Ovis aries: one gene and its partner. The main gene of each other region encodes a partner of the protein of the gene in region 2 in a complex. Links are inferred from orthologs where the notes say so. Each region holds a gene or a part of one and is shown on either strand. Other genes may lie near its edges.

The links. The genes of interacting proteins can lie anywhere in the genome.
Region 1: the proteins of KIF13B (region 2) and ADAP1 are in contact, whole or in part, in a crystal structure (PDB 3MDB), measured with the Homo sapiens proteins. The link is inferred for Ovis aries from reciprocal best matches to the Homo sapiens genes KIF13B and ADAP1. Residues at the interface, in NP_056069.2 of Homo sapiens: Val451, Asn452, Leu453, Asn454, Ala455, Asp456, Pro457, Leu463, Arg512, Phe514, Asn516, Gly517, Arg531, Leu533, Asn536, Asn537, Phe539; in NP_006860.2 of Homo sapiens: Trp137, Asn143, Gly144, Gln145, Phe146, Leu147, Pro186, Ala187, Lys188, Ile189, Gly190, His191, Pro192, His193, Tyr211, Glu213.

What each region holds. Positions count from the first base shown.
Region 1 is NC_056077.1:42,153,252-42,158,475, reverse strand, and holds part of ADAP1 (arf-GAP with dual PH domain-containing protein 1), read right to left. Parts: 5' UTR 4,234-5,224; coding exon 4,107-4,233; intron 3,546-4,106; coding exon 3,415-3,545; intron 1-3,414. UniProt on the Homo sapiens protein: GTPase-activating protein for the ADP ribosylation factor family. Binds phosphatidylinositol 3,4,5-trisphosphate (PtdInsP3) and inositol 1,3,4,5-tetrakisphosphate (InsP4). Regulates the incorporation of CD63 and CD9 into multivesicular bodies.
Region 2 is NC_056055.1:103,582,490-103,587,713, forward strand, and holds part of KIF13B (kinesin-like protein KIF13B), read right to left. Parts: intron 2,412-5,224; coding exon 1,562-2,411; intron 1-1,561. UniProt on the Homo sapiens protein: Involved in reorganization of the cortical cytoskeleton. Regulates axon formation by promoting the formation of extra axons. May be functionally important for the intracellular trafficking of MAGUKs and associated protein complexes.

The DNA.
Region 1 (5,224 bases), on a different chromosome or scaffold from region 2:
CTGACTGACAACCGTGTGTCTTCTCCAGAGAAGCGTCTGCTCAGGTCCTCCGCCCGTTTTTAATTGGATCGTCTGTTACTTTTTGATACTGAGTTGTGTGAGTTCTCTGTACATTTTGTGCAATGACCCTTAACACAAGTGTCGTCTACAAACACTCTGCCATCCAGAAGGTGGCCTTTTCATCCTGCTGATAGTTTCCTTTTTGTGCAAAACCGCTTTCATTTGCTGCAGCCGCATCTGTTTATTTTTGCTTCTGTAGCCCTGCCTGAGGAGGCAGACCCAGAACAATACGGCCACGGGCTTGTGCTCGCTCCCACGGGCTGTATGGTCTGGGGTCACTCACTCTTGTACACGGTGTGACACGCTGTGCGGGCCGTCCAGCTCTCCCAGCACCTTTCACAGAGGAGACTCTCCTTTCCCCGCTGCGCGTTTCTGCCTCTGGACTACTCACTTTCTAAACACTTATTTTACGGAGGTCTGGTTGACTTACAGCGCTGCAGACTTCTGATGTAGCGGTAAGGTGCAGAGGCACCCGCGTCTGCGCTCTCCCGTTGCTGAACAGAGCGCCCGAGCTGCACGGCGGGACCTTGTTTATCCATCCTGCGGTTCTAGTTTGCACGTGCTGACCCCGGACCCCCAGCCCTTCCCCACTCCCTCTGGAGCCGCAGCCTGTCCTCCATGCCCGGGAGTTCCCTGCGGTTTCGTAGACAGCTTCAGCCATGTCGTGTTTTAGATCCCGCATGGAAGTGGCATCATGTGGTATTTGTCTTTATCTTACTTTGCTGGGTAGGATAACCTCTCGGGTCATCGATATAGCTGTAAACAGCGTGATTTTATTCTCTTTTATGGCCACGTAATATTCCAGCATACACATGTCCCACTGTGTTCACTTTAAAATGGATTTTATATGAATTGCCCCCCAATGATTTAAAAAATTATAGATAGCTCCTTAAAAATATAAACCATACCTTTTCATTTTAAAAATATCATTTCAAAATGAAAGTTAAAATACAACCCACAGAATGAGAAGACTTACTTGCAAGTACTAAATCTGAAAGGAATTTTGTGTCCAGAATATATAAAGCGCTCTTAGTAATAAATCTCCTAACTTAGTAGTAAAAAGACAACCCATTTTTAAAGTGGGCAAAGGACCTGAATGAACATTGCTCCAAAGAAGAGACACAAATGGCCAAGCAGCGCATGGACCAGCGCTCAGCATCACTCTTCCCCAGGGAGGCGGGGCCGACACCACAAGGAGACGCCCCGCACGCCCCGAGGAGGGCTGAGGCCGGACGAGACGAGACGCGGAGGGGCTGCTGTCCTGGCGAGCTCCCAGCGGGCCAGGCCGCCGTGGTGGGCAGAGCCCGCTGACCCTCAGTCGTCAGGCGGTCACCCCGAGGCCTGGCAGCGCCGCGCCCTCCCAGAGAGCGGAGGGCACAGCACTGCCCTGAACCCCGCTGCTCAGAAGGCCTGGGAAAACGGGGCAAGCCAGGTGTGCGGCTGGTGAGGGGCGGACAAGCTGTGGTCCCCACGCGGCCGCGTGACCTCGCCGTGACAAGAAGTGCCAAGACCCCAACAGCAGGGGTGATCTAGAGATCGGTGCTCAGCGAGAGGAGGGAGGGGGTCTGGGACCGCACGGGTGAGTCCACCGGCACGAGGCACCCAGACAGACAGACCCACCGCGGGGAGGCAGGGCCCCTCTCTCGGCAGGGCCGGGGCGGGGGCCGCGAGGGGCCCCAGTGGGTGCGGGCTCATTTGAGGATATGAAAACCTTCTCAAATTAGATCATGGCGGCGGTCACACAGCCCTGAGAATTCATGAGAACCACCAAACCGTAGACTCTGGAAGGGTGAGGGGTGCGGTGTGTGAGCAACACAGATCAGGCTGCTCTGAGTAAAAATAGTCGAGGGCGAAGCAAGCCCGCCTCGGTGTGCTGCAGACCCTGGAACCACAGACGGCAAGGCTGGTAGACTTGATCGCTGCAAAGCCTGCAAGTTTCCACCGTGCAAACCACCACGAGCAAAGTCAGGACAACCTCCGAGAAACGTCTTCAGCTACTGTCTCTGAGGGCCGCGAACCCGCCTCTGTGAAACCCCCACAAAACGGAAGCAACCCACGCTGGTGACAGCGGGCAGCCCAGCCCAGGGCCTGGAGGTCACACCTGGTTCTACAACGGCCCCCAAGGCGGGGATGGGCAGGGAGGGGCCTGAGTGAGGCTGCCAGGCAGAGGCCTGCGGGCGTGGCCAGGAGAGGAAGCCTGGCAGAATCCTTGAAGTTACAGTCAGAGCCTTCCGACTTCCCCTCCAGGAATGGAGGCCGCCTTGCTGCCCCGGCAGGACGATGCGTCCGTGGGGCCATCCGTTGGCCCAGGGGCTGTCTGGGAAGGACCCCCCCCCCGCACCCCGTGAGCACAGCAAGCCTCAGCAGGGCCCCCGCACTCCCGGAGCTGTGCACGCCAACACGACCGGGGTCCAGCCGCACGGTGGGTGTCACCGGCCTCAGAAAGGGGAAGCACCCGTGCGGGGCTCAGGCCTGGGGCGGGCTGGAGCGGAGGCCCGGGCTCCATCTGAGGTGATGGGAGTGTTCCAAAGCTGATGATGGGGACGACCGCACGCTCGGTGAGCGTGCCAAAAACCGCTGAAGCGCCCCTAAAAGAGCGAGTCACACAGCGCGCGCCGTATCTCAGTAAAGCTGCTCTAGAGCACGTGCCACAGAGAGACAAAGTTCAGCGAGAAACGCCAAACAGACCAGGGCGCCCTGTGCCCAGCTCTCCGCACCCTGGGCCTCCCCGGAGCCGGCCTGGCTCATGACCTCCGGCCCAGGACTCACCAGCGCCTTGCAGGCTCAGCGCCCCCGGCCCCTCGAGGTCTCGAGGGAGCACGGAGCAGAGAGCAGAAGAGGCTGGAGCCCCTCACCCCAGACCCCGCTCGCTCCTCACCCCCAGCCCAGCCCAGCCCCCCCGGGACCTCCCTGTCCCCCACTCCTCACGAGGTGCGCGTGCTGTGGGCTTGTGTCCAGGTGGCCTCGCCCTCCCATCTGGCCCTAGCGTGGGGGTGCTTCCAGCCACATGGTGTGTGGCCGCGTGCTCGGGGCGGCCTCGCTAGGGTACGTGTGGACTCTGAGTTGGCACGGAGGCCGGGGTGGGCCCGGGACTCTGTGGGCGGACAGCAGGCCAAGGCCTGGCTCCTGTTACCTTCTGCGACTCTGTGTGAGTCACCCACGACGCCCTGACCACAAGGGGCCCGTGTGGGTTCCCGGGGTACCGGGCAGGCAGGGGCCTGCGCGGGCTGGGCTACAGGCTGGGTCTGAGGCTGCCGTGGCAGCGGGCACGCACCCCCCTGGCTGGGTCTGAGGCCTGAGGCCGCATGGCAGCAGGCAGGCACCCCCCCACCGGCCCCCCCGGCCCGGCCATACCTCCACTTGCACGTCCTCCCAGGTGTCCAGGCGCACGGACTTGACCTTGCTGACGTGGGGGATGTTCCGGTGAATCCCAGAGCAGCTCAGACAGATGAACACCCCCAGGGTGTACGAGGCCCAGTCAGGATCTGCAAGACAAGGCCAGCCGTCAGGGGGGTCTCCCCTGAGACGGGGGTACTGGACCCCGGCCCACAGGCCTGCACGCCCACCCCCCTTTCTGGGCTTCACTTCCTTGCTGGAGCCATGCGAGGGGGACAGGACACCAGGTTCACGGGGTCTGAGGGCCCCGAGCAGGGGTCCCGGCCACCCCCACAAAGGACCAGCCCCCCGTTGTCCCAGGAACCCCCCCCCCCAATGCTAGCTTCCCGCTGAGGGCCTCAGAGGAGAGACTGGAAGCCGGGAGCCAGGGCTCCGTCCACTCTCAGAGCAGGCGGGACACGGAACAGACAGGTTCAGGAGGAAGACTGCCATGTCTCCACGAGGACCCTCAACCCGGCCTCTGCAGACTCTCCGCTGGGGGCTGGGGCACAGCCAAACCCCGACCCCTGATAGGGGCCTCTGGCCACTGACAGGCAGCGGCTGCGGGAAGGGGCTCCAGCCAGGGCAGCGGGTTGTCGGGGGGGGGGGTACCCAGCCCAGGGACAGGGCCTGGCTCTCTGAGACCACCGGGAGCCCCGCCCCGGCCTCACCCCTGCACGTCGGCGGGTCCCAAGCAGAGCTGGCGCGGGGGTGGCCTGGACCCAAGGCCTCAGCCAGCTCAGAAGAGCTGTAAGCAGGCCCATCCTCCCCACACCGCTTCCTGTCCACTGCCCACATCCCCTGACTGCACCCCTGCCTGCGGGGCCCACAGACACCACGTCAATTCTCTGGGTGGAACCCCAGGGGATTCTCCAGCCAGAGGGTGGCGGCCCGGCCACAGCCCCTGTGCCGCCAGGCCCCACTCAGCTGTGTCCCCCAGGCCTCCATGACCACCCGCTGGCCCCGGCGGGCGCTGGGACATGCCCCACCCCAAGGCCCCCACCGCGACCCGTGGACAGGACCAGGCTTCCGAGGTCCTGGGCCCCCGGGCGCGTGGGGACCCCAGCGCCAACACAGCAGGCTTGGGGAGGGAGAACGCCAGGCCCCCAGCTCCGAGCCTCCCGGGGAGCGGTGGGAGGGAACGCTGCGCGTCAGGGACCCCCGACGCCCTCCAGAGCCGGGGCTCCTGACAGAAGAGCCCTGCCCACGACTGCCGTCCACCGGCTCGTGGGACCGCGGAGAACACGTACCTGCAGAGGCGCTCCCCGCGAGCGTCCCCTGGCTGCCACCGAGGATCCAGGAAAGCGCCTGCCCAGGGCCCTGAGCAGGCTGCACCCGGGGCCCGGCCCACCCGGCACGGCTACCGTGCCCCCGCCTCCCAGGAGCGCGCCCTCTGAGCCAAAGCACGGCCCCCGCAGGGAATGAGGAAGCCGGGATGCAAGGCCAACAGGCCCGGGGGCATGAGGACCAGGCGCACCGGGGCCCTCGCGCGGAGCCCAGGTCCTCTGAGCAGGAACCCTCGTGCGCCGGGGTGGGGACAAGGTGGGGGCCTGGGCACAGGGCAGGGTGAGGGCCACGGCTCCCTCCCGGCACCCCCGCCTCAGCGCCCCGCCCGGCCTCCCTGCGGGACCCGGCCCAACGGAACTCAACGGCCCTGCGGCTCCATCACGCCCGCCCCGGAGTCTCGGGGTGACGGTGGCCACGTCGTCCGCACTCAGAAGGGCTCCCTTCACCCTCCGACAGTCACGCCCTGTGTGTGTTGACAGCCCCAGCCCCGTCCCAAAAGACA
Region 2 (5,224 bases):
GGTCCGTCTAGTCAAGGCTATGGTTTTCCTGTGGTCATGTATGGATGTGAGAGTTGGACTGTGAAGAAGGCTGAGCTCCGAAGAATTGATGCTTTTGAACTGTGGTGTTGGAGAAGACTCTTGAGAGTCCCTTGGACTGCAAGGAGATCCAACCAGTCCATTCTGAAGGAGATCAGCCCTGGGTATTCTTTGGAAGGACTGATGCTAAAGCTGAAACTCCAGTACTTTGGCCACCTCATGCGAAGAGGTGACTCATTGGAAAAGACTCTGACGCTGGGAGGGATTGGGGGCAGGAGGAGAAGGGGACAACAGAGGATGAGATGGCTGGATGGCATCACGGACTCGATGGACGTGAGTCTGAGTGAACTCCGGGAGTTGGTGATGGACAGGGAGGCCAGGCGTGCTGCGATTCATGGGGTTGCAGAGAGTCGGACATGACTGAGCGACTGAACTGAACTGAAAACCCATTGTAAAATCAGGTTGCACAACTCTGGAAATATAGTACGAACTGCTGAACTGTACCCTTTAAACTTCTGGATTTTTTGTTATGTGAACTGCATCACAATAAAACTATTTCCAAAAAACAAAAAAAAACCAACCTGCAGTTCATTTGCTATATACAATGTAGCTAGACCTAGGGGGCATTATGCTAAGTGAAATTAGTCAGATAGAGGAAGACAAATACTGCGTGTTATCTCTTAAGTGTGGAACTGAAAAAATAAAACAAAGGACTATAACAAAACAGAAGCAGACTCGCAGGTGCAGAGAACAAACTGATGGTTACCAGCTGGAAAGAGGGAAGCGAGAGGCCAAGACAGACGTCGGGGATTAACAGGCACAAGCTACTGTGTATAAAGTAGGCTACAAGCATCCATCATATGGCACCTGGAATACAGCCAGTGTTTTATAATACCTTTAAATGGAGTATAATCTATAAAAATTTTGTATCACCAGTTTGTACACTGGAAACTAATACTGTAAATCAACTGTATCTCAGTTTTTAAAAAACAACAGGAAAGTAATTCTTTAAGCCCTGCCCTCAGTTTTTCTGCAAATGATGATGTCTTGGCTTGGAGGTGAGCCGTTCTATACAGGAGACACCTCTCCTTCCATCCTCCTGCTGGGGGCCCAGGAGCCTGGGGATGTCTGGGGAACACCTGAGGCGTCTGAGCCTCCACGCGGGCATCAGCCTTCGCAACCTGAGCTAGCGCAGCACACAGAGCTGCTATGGCACTTCAGACGCAGCTGTTTCTGGGACTAAAACCTAAACCCCAGGATTTAAATTCATTATCGAATTAATATTTAGTAGCTTTCAATGAATGTCTTAAGTTTGTGACAAATCTCTGCAAGTTATAAAAAGAGAGAGAATCTGACTCTTAAAACACTTAGGAGAGCCTTATCTAGCGAAAACTCCTGATTTTGAAAAGTGTTAACTGCGGGGCTCAGAGAGGTCAATGATGTGCCCAAGGGCATACAGCAGGTGCTAGGCAGCGCCCACACTTTTCAGCTAGACTGCAGTGGGCATGGGGGCAGGCACCTGTCCCAAACTAGCATCACTCACCTGAAGGTAAGTCCAGCTCCACTCCAACCCAGGTGCCCTCCTGAAAGTCGGTGGGCCCCACGTATCTCACGACGCCCGTCTTGTTGGTGCCCACCGTCACGTATTCTCCTTCCTTGAGCCACTCTGGGACCTCACTGGCTTCTTCCGAATCTGAGGAGACTTCCAGCTTTCCCAGGGCCTGAACCCCAGCGCCACCATCCCCCAGGTCCCCCGAGGCCGGTGGGTCCTCCGCTGTCCCTAAGGGGCCGCCGGGGTCCCCGCCAAGCATGCGCGTGAACGACTTCAGCTCCGAGGTCCGCACCTTCTGGATCCTGAACGGAGAGGCGGGAGCAGGTGGCTGGAACCGGGGCTCTGAGGGCGGCGGTGGCCTGGAGACGTTGGGCTCTGGGCCGGGGACTGGTCTCCCCTGGGGCTGGGTGTCCTCTGGCTTCTGGGAGGCGGCAGGGTAGCTCCTGCTCGCCTGGTTGGGTGGTGGTGGCGGGCCTGCTGCCTGGTTCTGCTTCTCTGCAGACGCCCCGGCTGGAGCCAGGGCTGCACCGCTGCCTGGTGTCTTTCCCTCCACCGAGGCAGCCGGGGGCTCGAGGGCGGCCAGGCCGGGGCCCGGAGGGGTCGAGGCCATGGCATCCAGACCCGGGCCACAGGCGTCCGACAGGGTGGCGGTGGAGACACTGTGTGAGAAGTAGCCGCTGGATGCTTCGCTCAGGGGACTGGGGGGCCCATCCCCACCCTCGGGGGCCGGGGAGGTGGGTGTCACTCTCGGGGGCCCATCACAGGTCTTGGGCACAGGGGTGGCTGGCGGGGCCACAGGCATGCTGGGGGCCACGTGCAGCCCCCCATTCTCCCGCTGAGCCTGGAAAGGGGAGAGTTCAAAGTTAGGCATTCCTCCCGAAAGCCTCAAGGCCAATCCCGCTGTTGGAGACAGACAGCTCTGATGGTGGAACTCGAGTGGCCTTGCAGCAGGGCAGAAGGTTCCCACATCAGCTCTCCGTGCGACCTCTGAGCACGGATAACAGACGCCAACAGGCTGCAAGCCACTGCTGCCCCTCCCTGCCCTGACCCGGGCTGAGCAAGGCAGCCCCGAGTGCCCCTCATTGCCACCCCCTTCCATAAAGCACAGCTCCTATAGCTGCCTATGATAGTATGGTTTCTAGTTAAGAATTACACATTTGGTCTGAAATGTCTTGTTTTTTTGGTAGAGAACTCCTAAAACACCTGGGGTTTCCCAAATGCTATGAAGGTTTCCTGATACTCATAACAAGCCCCTTACGACCACATCTAAGTTTATGTTAAGGGGGGTGACTTTTGGAAAACTCCCAAGGGAGGGGCTGGTTGCCAAGGGGACCAATCACATGACTAGAAGGGTGTACATTTCCATCCCATCCCTGACCTCTGGGAAGGGGCTGGAGGCTGACTCACTCACCAGTGGCCAACGCTTTAATCAACCATGCCTATGTAATGACCTCCACAAAACCCCCATAAGAACAGGGTTTGGAGAGCTTCTGGGCAGGAGAACACGTGGCGATGGGGGCAGAGCCCAGTGCCAAGAGAGCACGGCAGCGCCTTGCCCTCCCCTGCAGGTGTCTCCCACCTGGCTGCTCCTATGTTAGTTACATCCCTGTCTAATAAGCTGATAGTCTAGTAAGTAAAATACTTCTCTTGGGTCCGCTCCAGCAAATTCACTGAACCTGAGGGAGGGATCAGGGGATCCTCTGGTCTGGAGCCCGTGGGACCTGGTTCTGAAGTGGGGGCAGTCTTGTGGGGCAGAGCCCTCAAGCTGCGGGGATCGGATGCTGTTACCAGGTAGACAGGGTCAGGGCGGAGTTAACTGTGGGACACCCCTGCCTGGTGGTGGGAACGATGACGCGGGGCTGCAGCTGGGCAGTGTGGTACAAGACGGGCAGGAGAGCCTTCACATAAAACACGGCACATGTGAACACCCAACTCCCTCTTACACCTCCTGCACTCAGGCCCGGAGCTCCGCTCTCTTGGGAACGGACCCCCCAACCAGCACCGACTTCCTGGGGACGCTGAGAGGATAGCTGGAGGCCAGCAGAGCACGCTGCTCCTGCAGAACTGAAACGGTGGCCTCCGCAAGGGATCCAGACGTGCCAGAGCACAGCTCGGCAGGAAGCAACAACCCCGAGGCCTGCGGGGCCAGGAGGCAGGGCAAGAGGAGGGACAGAGGCTGCCTGCAAGCTGCACCCTTCCTCTGAGACGCTGCCTTTCGAGACGGTGCTCAAGGCTGGTCCCACGGCCCGCGTCAGGGTCACCGATCCTGGAGACTCATGGGCCGAGGAGCAGCCAGCCCAGCGAGCAGGGCTGAGTGAGGCCAGAGCTGCGCTGGGCTTCCCGCCTCTCAGCCCTGGGTCTGACTCACTTCAGCAGAGCTCCACGGGCCCTGCCGCGCTCTCGGGTGTTCCTGCCGTGGTAACTGCAGCCACCGGAGAAGGCGGCAGATTATCTTTCTGTTCCTGATGCACCATGACAGGGAATGGGAGACGGAGTGGGAAGCGGGCTGTGGGGCGAGAAGGGTGCTGCTCAGAAAAAGAAATATGTTCTCAATATTTACGGAAAGATTATTTATCTTACAGGAATGGCCATTTTCCATTTGAAATACAGGATTTATTTGAACTGGGAAACAGCTGAGATCTATAAGTCTCTTACAGTTACTTGGCTTAACTCAGCAGTTTGATAAATCATGCATTTTCACGTGAATTGTCATTTATATTCCTGTCTCTGGAGGCCCTCCTTCCCCCACAAGGCACACTCTCAGGGTACGAAATTAACGGCACCTCTTGAGATTAACAACCCATTTTTGTGATGGATCTCTGGGCTGCAAAATTTACTAAATCCAGTAGATCAATAACTGTCACCAGCATAAATACTCTAAAAGACGAGGCAATCCTTCAATCATTTTTCTTTTGCAACTTGTACATGTTTTATTTATCCTTTTCCATTCTATTTTTAGTCTCACTGACCAGGCAGGGAAGAATACACAGCAAAATTTAGGAGACTCTGAAGTCTGAACAGTAACCATGGTTCTGACATAGTCCGCAGTTCCCTGCTCTCTGGGGATAAAGCCGTCCCCCAGTTGCAGGATCTGCTGAGGGAAAGACTTAGTCCTGAGGAGTGGACGGCCCAGGGACAGTGCCTCAGAGCCCCATCAGCTTCTGCCCCATCAGCTTTCACTGTGTCCTCTGATGTGGGCCAGGAAGGACTTACTTTACGACAAGGCCCAGAGAGGCTATTCACCCACAGCCTCCAGTAAGGGAAAAGCCGGGGATCAGAGGTCAGATCCATAGCGACAGGAAAGAGGAGACGGTGGGGGCGGGGGGCTGGAAGGTGAGCTCTGATTCCCCGGTTCTTGGTTCTTTCCCGCTGAGCCAAGCGCAGCTCTGATCCTTCCGCTTTGGCACTGTGGGTTCCCACTCAATTGGAGTTGCTATGTGAGTGGGAATCTCCCTACCTCTCTAGGTCACAGTTTAGCACAGACATTCCTAAGGCTGCCGGAAAGCCTGGATCTGGGCAAACCCTCAGGGAAGCACCCTTGTGTAAGGGTCTGCCTTTGCCGCACTGGCCTGGGAGCCCCAGTTCTGCCTTGAGAAATCATTAACCCGACTCATGGGGGCGGGGGCAGCTCTACCTTTGGTTAAATTCGTGAAC